Linked DNA regions of Ovis aries. The protein of the gene in region 1 purifies or fractionates together with the protein of each later gene. This does not show direct contact. Links are inferred from orthologs where the notes say so. Each region holds a gene or a part of one and is shown in the gene's direction. Other genes may lie near its edges.

Region 1 (3,652 bases):
ATTAGTAAATAATGATAAGATATTTTAAAAATCATGAATATATTTGCATGAAATCCTAAAAGAATGAAAATTGAATAGCTTAATTCTATATTTAACTTTTTAAAAGCTTTTGTTTAAAAAAAAAAAAACCTGTAAGGTACTGTGCTACAGTACCTTTCATGAATTTGTTTAATCCTTACGATGACTCTGTGAGGCACCTGTACTGTTCTGCCTCTGTTTCGCAGATAACAATCAGAGAGGTCAGGTAACTGCTGAAGGGAGTGCAGCTAATAAGCTGCAGAGTCAGCATTCACACCCATCTAATTCCACAGTCTCCAGTCTCCATGCTGCCACGTCATTTTAAAATTGCATATTGTAGCACAGTATACTGCTCTTTGACACCCACTTCAGCTCTGAATTGGTGATTTTTGATTCAGTAAATTCCTTTTGATAAAACACCTGGGTTATAGTTTTTCTCCCCAATGGAAAATGATATTTTTGTCATTGTAATGTTTTTGATAATGAAAAATCTGAGTAATTAGATATGTAGAGAGAGCTTTGGGGTAAAAGTATTATTAAAGGTAAAAGTCGCTCACTCTTTCCAACTCTTTGTGACCCCATGGACTGTATATTCTCCTAGGCAGAATACTGAAGTGGGTAGCCTGTTGCTTCTCCAAGGGATCTTCCCAACCCAGAGATCAAACCCAGGTCTCCTGCATTGCAGGAGAATTCTTTACCAGTTAAACTACAAGGGAAGCCCAAGAATACTGGAGTGGGTAGCTTATCCCTTCTCCAGCAGATTTTCCCGACCCAGGAATCAAACTAGGGTCTCCTGCATTGCAGGTGGATTCTTTATCAACTGAGCCCAAAAGTATTATTAAAGTACCTATAATATAAAGAAAGCACCACTTCCTATAATATAACAAAAGCGTCACTTCCCAGGTGGCGCTATGCTATGCTAGAAAGAAAAGTAAGTGAAGTCGCCCAGTCATGTCAGACCCTTTGTGACCCCGTGGACCTACCAGGCTCCTCCATCCGTGGGATTTTCCAGGCAGGAGTACTGGAGTGGGTTGCCATTTCCTTCTCCAGGGGATCTTCCTGACCCAGGGAGTGAAGGTGAAGGTGAAGGTGAAGTCGCTCAGTCATGTCCGACTCTTTGCGACCCCGTGGACTGTAACCTACTAGGCTTCTCCGTCCATGGGATTCTCCAGACAAGAATACTGGAGTGGATTGCCATTTCCTTCTCCAGGGGATCTTCCCGACCCAGGGATCGGACCTGGGTCTCCCGCATTGGAGGCAGACACTTTAACCTCTGAGCCATCAGGGAAGCAAAACCGGGGTCTTTTGCATAGCAAGCAGACTCTTTACCATCTGAGCCACCAGGAACTCAAAAAGGCCTTGTTGCCTCCCGTCGGGAATCAAATCCCAGTCTCCCATATGACAGGCGGAAATACTCAGCACTCTACTAACAAGGATGCTAAGTCATTTCAGTCTTGTCCGACTCTGTGCACCCCTTTGGACTGTAGCACGCCAGGCTCCTCTGTCCATGGGATTCTCCAGGCAAGGATACTGGAGTGGGTTGCCATGCCCTTCTCCAGAGGAATCTTCCCAATATGGGGATCAAACCTGCGCCACTTGTATCTCCTGCACTGGCAGGCAGGTTCTTTCTCACTAACGCCAAAGAGTCTGCCTGCCAGTGCAGGGGATAGGAGAGACAGCAGTTTGATACCTGGATCTGGAAGATCCCCTGGAGAAAGAAATGGCACTCCACTCCAGTATTCTTGCCTGGAAAATTCCGTGGACAGAGGAGCCTGGTGGGCTACAGTCCATGAGATTGCAAAGAGTCAGACATGACTGAGCAAATGAGCACAATATGAAAAAAAAATTACTTCATTTTAAATCCAGAGCTAGTAGTAAAGCCACATAGCCTTATTAAGTACCTTGAGCATAAAACAGCTTAATAATTATTGATGAAGAGTCTGGTATAAAAGGCCCTAATAGGTCATTTTTTTTAGCTTTAATTTGGATACTATAATCATGGTAGCTAATGTTTATAGATTATTTATTTTGGGGGTGCTTCCAAGGTGGTTGACCTCACTTAATCTTCTCAGCCCTCTAGGAAGGAGATATTATTATTATCATCCCTGTTCTACAGCTCATTAAACTAAGATTTAAAGAGGTTTGTATAATTACCTAAGGCTTCACAGCAGTGACATAAGTGTATTATGAACTCTCACTCCAAATTATTTTTATTTTACAGCTCATAAAACAAGACACAGCAGTATTTGAAAGAAAAATTACTGGAATCACGAAACATAGTTTTCCTTATGGATGTGTATTATATTTTCCTTTAGGTTCACAATATTCTTGCAGAAATGGTGATGGGGGGAATGGTATTGGAGACCAACATGAATGAGATTGTTACACAAATTGATGCACAAAATAAACTGGAGAAGTCTGAGGTAAGAATGGCAAGTGCTCTAGTTAATGAAGGGAGGAAGCATGATCATAAATTATGCATGGTTTGCGGCTTTCACCGTCTGTCCTTCAGTATCACCCTTTAGTACAGTTGGTAGGCTTATTCGGTTTTGAAAATAAATGGAATATACACATTTTAGTATGTTAAATGTTCTGTGACCACTATCCACCAAATAGTTTTGTGTATTCTTTTAGCCACAGTCATAATTGCTTTGAGTAATAAATAAAATTCCCAATTCTTATTGCTTAAAAAAGAAGTTATTTACTTGAATAGTGGAATCAGTATTTGTTACATTCTTAGTCATTAATTATCCAAGAAATCTTAGAACTGGTTTTCAAAGATACATGAATTTAATGTTTTATAAAACTATTTCTGAAAAAGGAAGGGAGAGAAAATGGAACTCTCATAAGGAAGTAATATCAATAATAGGTGCTTAGTAGGCCTGAATGCACATTGAAAAAAAAGACATTCAGCACTCTAATCTTTTATTTCTGGATCCTTGTCAAAGGTCACGGACACGTTAGCTAAATCATATATACTTCATACAGTGGCCCATGTCTTCATGGCTTTTGTTGGATTCTAGAAGAGCAAGATTTGGTGATAAACAGCTGACTTTGTGCTGTTAGGCTGAGTGAATGAGGACCAACCAGCACTTTAGCCTTGTGTAAAACTCTACTTTATAATTGCATGCTTCTTCCCTCAATAACAAGGCTGAATATCAATAACAAAGCTGAATATAACGGGTGCTGAAGCTGAACCACTCATGTGGGCATTATTTTAGTGGTTTCTTATTGCTGTAGAAGAAATTTAGAAAGATGAATAGTCTTGATACCTCATTTAACACTATACATGTTTGAGGATACCCTTACCTTTGATATGTATAGTCATAACTCAGAGTAGGAAACTAATTTTATTTATAATTATTAGTACAGGTGTTTGGATAATCTAAAGTAAATATTACTATAAAAGCAGAGAGATATTAAAAATATGCTAGTATTGATTTATAACAGGTGAGTTGTGAAGAATTTTTATCTTGTTGGCTCTTTAAAGGATCAGCATAACAAAATGCTGTGCTCATTGTAATTAAATGAAATACAGGATGGTGGATAAATCGGAAATCTGAGGGTTAGAAACAGTTGAAGTTTTGTATAAAAGCCTTTTCCAATGTTCTATTTTAAATTAAAATAAGTCCTA
Region 2 (4,135 bases), about 4.6 Mb from region 1:
TGTGTGTGTGTGAGCCGCTCAGTTTGACTCTTTGCGACCCCATAGATGGCAGCCCACCAGGCTCCCCCGTCCCTGGGATTCTCTAGGCAAGAACACTGAAGTGGGTTGCCATTTCCTTCTCCAATGCATGAAAGTGAAAAGTGAAAGTGAAGTTGCTCAGTCGTGTCCGACTCTTCGCGACCCCATGAACTGCAGCCTACCAGGCTCCTCCGTCCATGGGATTTTCCAGGCAAAAGTATTGGAGTGGGGTGCCATTGCCTCCTCCCGAGAATACTGGAGTGCATAGGTATTCCCTTCTCCAGGTGAACTTCCGGTCCCAGGGATGGAACCCAGGTCTCGCGTGTTGCAGGGGGATTCTTTACCTTCTGAACCACGAGGGAAGCCCTGTGTTTCACTAGTCCCCTTACAGTTTCTAACTTCCAGGCTCTAGGTTTCGGAGCTTGCCTAAACCGGAAGCAGTGGAAATAGTGCGCAGCATGCTCTGAAATCCACCCGAAATATCAGGTGTGAGGGGGGCAAGTTACTCCTGAAAAAGTTTCTCACGTGCTACTCTGGAGCCAGGCAACTTTCTGCCTGACTCCCCTTAAAACTTTAGTAAGTGCTACCACAAGAAGAACAAAAAGAGGTGCCCAGATAATGGGCTACTTCTGGTGTTCGGGACAGCTCTATTTTTTTGTTTTTAAACGCCAGTAGGAAGCACGCCGTTAGCTCCTTGGAACCAATGGCCCCAGGATTTTCCTTTGAAACTACAATGATCCCATCTTGGCGGTGGCAGATCCCAGAAAGACAGGGTTTTAGAAACTTCCTTAAAACTCAGAGCTCTGCATAAAGATTGCCTGGGGCAGAAGTAACAGCAAGACTCAGCAGGCTGGAGGGAAAGCATTAGAAACCAGCCTAAACAGGAAAAGCAGTCCTAATTAAGTTTAGCAAAGTTGATCTGGTGTGTTAAATGGTGTTTCAGGAGAAATCTGAAAACTTCTGGTTTACAACAAGAATCCAAAAAAAGAGGTGTCCGGCCCGGGGAATCTCCTAAGGGACCAAAATGGATACGTGGGTATCTGTCTCCAAAAAAAACCCCCACCTCTAAAAAGAGCTTAGTCTTTAGCCCGCTGAGGGCCTGCCTAGCGCAGAGGCTGGGTTCGAGCCGCTCGGCTACCTCAAAAGCCCGGAGGCGGGAACTCCAGTCCGGCCCGGGAGTGGCCGGGGGGTGGGCTCTGGCCGCACGCACACTGGGCATGCGCAGGGGGTGGCCCGCCGGGTCGGCTTGGGAGCCGTGACGAGTCCGGAAGCGCCTGCGCGCGCCCCTCTGCACGAGAACTAGTTTTGTTTCCAGTCGCTGGGACCGGAGCCCGTCAGAGAGAACCCCGGGCAGGACCAGCTCGACACCCGGCGACCCCGCGGCGATGTCCAGCAACAGCTTCGCTTACAATGAGCAGTCGGGAGGAGGGGAGGCGACGGAGCTGGGTCAGGAGGCGACCTCAACCATTTCCCCCTCCGGCGCCTTCGGCCTTTTTAGCAGCGATATGAAGAAGTGAGGAGAAAGGTTTGGGGTGTGGGGACGGGACTGAGGGGCTGGGGCTCCCGGGACAGGGGCAGGGTCGCCCTGAGACCGTCCGGGAGCGGAGCGGGCGTTTCCTGCCGCGCTATCGCTTGGGAGTGGTGGGAGTTGTTGGGAGTGTGGGTTGAGTGTGTGGAGGGGTTCTCTAGGAGTTTTCAGACTTTAGTGAAAAAGAACCATTGGGACCGCTTAGGTGCCATCCCCAAAGACCCCGACTGGTCTGGGGCCCAGGAGTCTGAATTTTGAGCAAACACTTCAAGCTAGTTTAAAGTTTGCTTGATGCCACCTGGAGAAATTCTCTCTCTAGGGTGGAAGGATTCAAGTTTGGGGAGCTGAGAGGGAAAGTTAGATTGTGTCTTATGGGAACCTGTTCTGTGACTCTTGAGTGTAGAAGCAAGGAGGTGTTTTAGGCGCTTTATGAATGAACAAGCTGGTTTATTCAGGCACCAGTGTTCCCGGAAAATGTCTTTTGCATTACAGACCAAAAAAGAAAAAACAAAACCCCCCACCAAAAGTATAAGACAACCCCCAAACCAAAAAACAAAGCTAGGAAACAGTAAGAAGCGTATGAGGAGAATATTTAGAGTGTGGGCAAGTGGCACAATTTTGCAAATAATGTGGATTTTAAAAATGAACCCTAAATAATGTATACGTGTGTGTGTTTTTAAAGTTATTACGAGTATTTTAAGTACCACCGAAAAAGGGAAAGAAAACACCCCGCTCATTGTTTTTTGTGTGTGTGGTGAGGGAGAGAGAGTGATTTTAAACTTACAGAATTCTGGTAACTTTGCATTTTTTGGTAATAATTTTTACATTTTTTCTTATTTTTGATCTCTCAGTACTTAGTGAACATAATAGGCTAACACTAGATTTATGCTGAACTTAAGGTAAAGTAGCTATGCTGGTGGCCTTGCGGTGTCAGAAAGATAAATTAAAATTCATTTTATTTAATTAAATAATTTATTTGATTAAAATTTAATGTAATTAAAAAATTATTTTAAAAGGCATTCTGGAAATTGCTAGTAGTTGAAGTTGAGGTTACATTTTGACTGTATTAAGCTAACTGAAACCTGTGTGGAGTGTGTGGAATAGAGTTTTTTGTTTATTTCCTTATTCTCAGGTTAGCAAAGTTTATAAGTAATGTAACTTCAGTAATTTTTCATTTTTCCTTCTATGCATTTAGATGATGGATTATTCCAACAAGAAGCTTGTTGCAGTTCTGTTGTTCTATTAGCAGAAATTTCAACTGTTAAATTAATGTTTAAGTCTGTAGAGTCTGTTTTACATGTGATATGCTTACAGTTGATCTACTTTTATGGATTGTGAACTTCTAAGGTGTTTTCCTCTTAGAGCCTTTCATTTCCTATTTTGTCAGATTTGGGTCTAATATTGAAAAAAATGTGTGGTTTTGACTGTGACCAGTGTTACTGAGGTGACTGAGCATGTTGGAGTTGAAATGAAAATAGCTGACTTTGAGTACTTCTGCACACTACTTTACATTGATTATCTCATTTGGTCCTCCTGACCATTTGGTCTGGCTGAGTGAGTATGACTTACGGAAAATTATTCTGTAACTTTGAGGTGCCACAGAGGATATAGAGCAACCCAAAAATACTTTGATTCCACTTTGCAGATGAGAAAATTGGAGCACAAATGGTTAATTTGCCTAAGATAACAGAACTAGAACACTGAGCTGCCTGAGTTTGAGCTCACAGTCTCATCTCAGAGCCCATTCTCTTGAGTATTTGGATATGCTGCTTGACAACGTTTATTGTACCTTGGTCTTCCCTTGTATTGCAGTTAGTAAAGAATCTGCCTGCAATGTAGGAGACCTGGGTTTGATTCCTGGGTGGGGAAGATCCCCTGGAGAAGGAAATAATTATATCTTATTAGAGAATGCAATCAAATCATTAAAACTTTACTAGTCGTAGAGAGTGTATGACCTTGAGGCTTTCAGGAATTAGAAACATTTTGGCCATTGAATTGCAAACTAGTGCAGTTGTACAGAAACAGGGACCTGTGTTCTGGAAGTGGTCACTTAACCTCTCTTGAGCTTACATTCTCTCATTTATAAAAATGTGATATTTCTTGCCTTTTTAAAAAACCCAAATGACAAAATTTATGTAAAAAACTTCAAGCTTACCCTAATCCTGTACTCTGATTTTTTTAATCAAAGTATAATTGACATCAACATGTTAATTTCAGATATACACCATAATGTTCAGTAGATTTTTTTATGTATTGAGAAATTATCACCACAGCAAGTCTGGTTAACATCTGTCACCATACTTACAGTTTGGTTCCCCCCTCCCCTCGAATGAGGACTTTGAAGATTCGCTTTTAGTGATTTTCAAATATGTAATACAATATTATTAACTGTAGTTACCATGGTGTACATTATATCCTCCTGACTTATTTGCTTTATAGCTGGAACTTTGTGCCTTGGACTTTCTTCACCCATTTCTCCCACAACCTCTGGTCTCATTTTTGATGATTTACTTTGAATGATTTTGAGTTTGCAAAAAAGTTGCAAGAATAATAGAGAACTACTCTTGATGTAGGCTCAGTTTTTAAAAA
Region 3 (3,652 bases), on another chromosome or scaffold:
TGAGAAATGCCAAACGTTTGTAAATCAGAGTAAATAACCTTACTTTAAGCTAATTATCGTGTATTCATTTATCTTGCCATTTATCCAGCCTGATATGTAGTGTATGTCTACTGTGCACCATACTTTTTACAACCACTTTGTGTGCAGTCCTTCTAGTAAAGACCCCAGACTGAAGAACAGTACTGTATTAGAATCGTAATATTTTACTAAAGATATCTAGTCCAACTCTCACATGTTATGTATGGGGAAACTGAGACTTAGAAGAGTTAAATAACCTGTTAAAGGTCACACCACTAGTTGGTATGTGAAAATGACTTACTGTGAATTACAGACAATTATCTCTACAGTGAGTTGCATTTTTATTATAAAAATTCCATTGTATGGAATAGTTGCTGTACTGTTAAAGAATTATGGTTCCTACTTTTTAACATTTCATTAGAAACTTGGCTAATTTTATTTAAAATATTTGAACTTCAAAAAAAAAAATGTTCAAACAAACATTATTTACAGTTGCCAAGATGTGGAAGCAGCTTAAGTATTCATCAACAGATAAATGGATAAAGAAGATGTATATATGTACACAATGGAAAATTACTCAGCATAAAAATGAATGAAATTTTGCCATTTGCACAACATGGATGAACTTGAAGAACATTATGCTAAATGAAATAAGCCAGATAAAGAAAGATAAATACTATATATCACTTATATGTGGAATCTAAAAAATACAACAAACAAATGAATTTAACAAAAAAAAAGCAGACTCACAGATACAGAGGACAGATTAGTGTTTACCAGTGTGGAGTGGGGCAGTAAAGGGGTGGGAGAATGGGAGGTACAAACAGCTGGGGGTAAGACAGGCTCACAAGTACACTGTAAAACACAGGGAATATAGCCAATGTTTTGTAATAACTATAAATGGAAAGTAACCTTTAAAAATTGAATAGTTTTTTTTTTTTTTAATTTTAAAAGTCAGTGGAAAAAAAGTATTTTAACTTCACATCCAGCAGTCTTACAAGGCTGACTCTATAAAGATAAGGATGGGTTTGATTTTCCTTAGAATCATCCTGTTCCAACCGGAGACAGGAACAGCCTTGGCACTCAGTAAAGAAGTTGTCTAAACTGGTGTAATGGATCCTCTGTCCACTAACCTTTTAATAGATGTACAAAGCTTCAGTATGTCTGACACCTGGGAGATATCTCCATTACTTCAGATATAGTGATAGCTCTAGTAGGGTAGAGCTACTTTACTAGAATGCATGCATATTCCAGTGATACCTTTATTATTCCTTTAGGATCTACAGTCTTTGCAGAAATTCAGGGGGTCATCGATGCTTGCATTAAGCTCTCTGGAATGCCTGACCTTTCCCTCTCTTTCATGGTAAGTTTTGCTCTGTTTTGTAACTCCTTCGTGCCTAATATATATGAAGTACTAAATGAAATGATAAATACTGATACATGCTTCTTTCAGATCACATTGGATTATGTAAGAAGTATTCCTAGCACAGCTTCCAAAGACAGTAGCTTACATGATGAGCACTGCCTTTATGGATAGGCTGTGGAGAGGCTTTGCCTCTGAGTATGTTAGAAGTAGCTTAAATGGCTGGCTGGCTGCTGCGGATATGTAGTGCTGCTTTTACTGAGTTGTTATATGCTCTGTTGGTATGAAAAGGCATTGATCTTTTCATCATTTTAGATTCGGCATACTACACTACTGAGAACTGCTAAGAGAACTGAGCCCTGATGCTGTCTGTGCCTCTAACTTGTCCTGGCCTTGAGCTTTCTTTGAACCTCAGTTTTTTCATCTATGAAGTGGAAATGAAACCACTCACATTTTCTACCTCATGGGAATTACTGGAATTGAATTATTGAAATTCAAATAATAATGTATATAAAATATTTGTACACTTGAAAGCATTGTGAAACGATAAGCCTGAATAAACTTACATGACTGCTTTATCTTAAGGAAGCATATTTCTCAGATCTCATAATATATCTGACTAGAGTTGCCATATTCGTTTTACTTTATGAATATGCTTGTCTTCTCTTTTCCATGGCAGAATCCAAGGCTTCTAGATGATGTCAGCTTCCACCCCTGCATTCGGTTCAAGCGTTGGGAATCTGAAAGAGTTCTGTCGTTTATTCCTCCAGATGGAAACTTCCGACTCATATCATACCGTGTCAGCTCACAGAAGTATGTTGTTGTATCAACCATAATCTCCTGTCATCTATCAGTGTGCTGTGTAGAACTCACTTTTTCCCTGTTTCATTCTAACAGTTGGTTACTTGAATTCACCATTGCTCCCTTTAGCCATTGCTCACCAGGAGACCCAGAACAAACTGGTGAAAATATATGCGGAAAATATAATTAGTATACTTTGAATCTTAAGAGTATAGAGTAATAGTAAATATATACCTTAGAGCAAGCACTTGGGACCATGCATAACCTGGACGAAACCATGAACCCATGCCATAATTTTACTATGATCTGTGGACATTATGGCTGATAGAAGGAGACAGACTTACCTGTAGTTCTCCAGGACATCCCTCAACTAACTGGCTTGAAGTCACTCTTCTCTGCACTGAGGTTTAAATGAATGATTTAGCATCCTGGGTTGTAGCTGGTTTGTCCCTTGAAAACATCAGAAAGTATTTGGACAACATCAAAACAGAACTTAAAAGCAGAGGAATTTTTTCTTGGCTCTTATCACAGAGAAACTGATATATTTAGTTTGTGTAATTCGAAATTATCTTTCTCTGGGATCTTAATTCATTTCTTGAAACCAGGACTGTTTGTGCCAATTATTGATGCTATAATTTTATCTTGATTTGTATACTTACTGCTCAGAAATTGTATAATTTCTGGCACAGTGGTTCCACAACACCGCTGTACTCAACTGCCCTGGCTCAGATACTGAACCTGCGGTTCTGCGGGTATTGGATATTCTATACTAGGGTTTTTGTGCCACCTCCAGAGCTCACACTATTAATTGTATGTTTTTTGTGGTTGTGTCTGTCTTTCTCTTTTTAGTCTAGTGGCAATACCAGTATATGTGAAACACAGCATCAGTTTTAAGGAGAACAGTTCTTGTGGTAGATTTGATATTACAATTGGACCAAAGCAGAATATGGGGAAAACTATTGAAGCAATCACGGTGACCGTTCACATGCCGAAAGTTGTGTTGAATATGAACCTGACACCAACACAAGGCAGCTATACTTTTGATCCAGTTACCAAGGTACAGTCACCTAAAATCAAGAGTGAGCAAGTGTTTCTGCAATCCTTATTTTGTGATTTGGGGACATGGGAGGACAGAGGGAAGGGTCTAATATCTTGGTTGAAATTAAAGCTCTAACAGCCTAGAATGCAGATTGTGCTGTGCTCTGCCACAGGAGAGAATCTTGCATCTGCTGCTAAGTTGATGAGCAGAAAAGTGAGATTCATTCCTTCTTCCTTCAGAATCTGCCTTTTCTTATACATTGATAATCCAGAGGTTCACTAACTCTTCAATGAGGAAGATATAAAAACTTTTTAAAAAGAGAAAAGCATTATGTGCATATAATAATCTATTAATGGTTAATAGATATTACAGTGTATTAATTGTTAAGAAATTAAGATCTTTCTCTTCCTTTTTAATTTAAAAGCATTATT

The links.
Region 2: the proteins of AP3S1 (region 1) and AP3B1 fractionate together in Homo sapiens (co-fractionation; 5 studies listed by BioGRID and IntAct, counting the BioPlex papers as one, with this or other methods). This does not show direct contact. The link is inferred for Ovis aries from reciprocal best matches to the Homo sapiens genes AP3S1 and AP3B1.
Region 3: the proteins of AP3S1 (region 1) and AP3M1 purify together in Homo sapiens (co-immunoprecipitation; 4 studies listed by BioGRID and IntAct, counting the BioPlex papers as one, with this or other methods). This does not show direct contact. The link is inferred for Ovis aries from reciprocal best matches to the Homo sapiens genes AP3S1 and AP3M1.

The regions. Positions count from the first base shown.
Region 1 is NC_056060.1:4,758,418-4,762,069, forward strand, and holds part of AP3S1 (AP-3 complex subunit sigma-1), read left to right. Parts: intron 1-2,333; coding exon 2,334-2,441; intron 2,442-3,652. UniProt on the Homo sapiens protein: Part of the AP-3 complex, an adaptor-related complex which is not clathrin-associated. The complex is associated with the Golgi region as well as more peripheral structures.
Region 2 is NC_056060.1:9,383,710-9,387,844, reverse strand, and holds the start of AP3B1 (AP-3 complex subunit beta-1), read left to right. Parts: upstream 1-1,256; 5' UTR 1,257-1,403; coding exon 1,404-1,531; intron 1,532-4,135. UniProt on the Homo sapiens protein: Subunit of non-clathrin- and clathrin-associated adaptor protein complex 3 (AP-3) that plays a role in protein sorting in the late-Golgi/trans-Golgi network (TGN) and/or endosomes.
Region 3 is NC_056078.1:29,212,127-29,215,778, reverse strand, and holds part of AP3M1 (AP-3 complex subunit mu-1), read left to right. Parts: intron 1-1,295; coding exon 1,296-1,381; intron 1,382-2,060; coding exon 2,061-2,194; intron 2,195-3,031; coding exon 3,032-3,239; intron 3,240-3,652. UniProt on the Homo sapiens protein: Part of the AP-3 complex, an adaptor-related complex which is not clathrin-associated. The complex is associated with the Golgi region as well as more peripheral structures.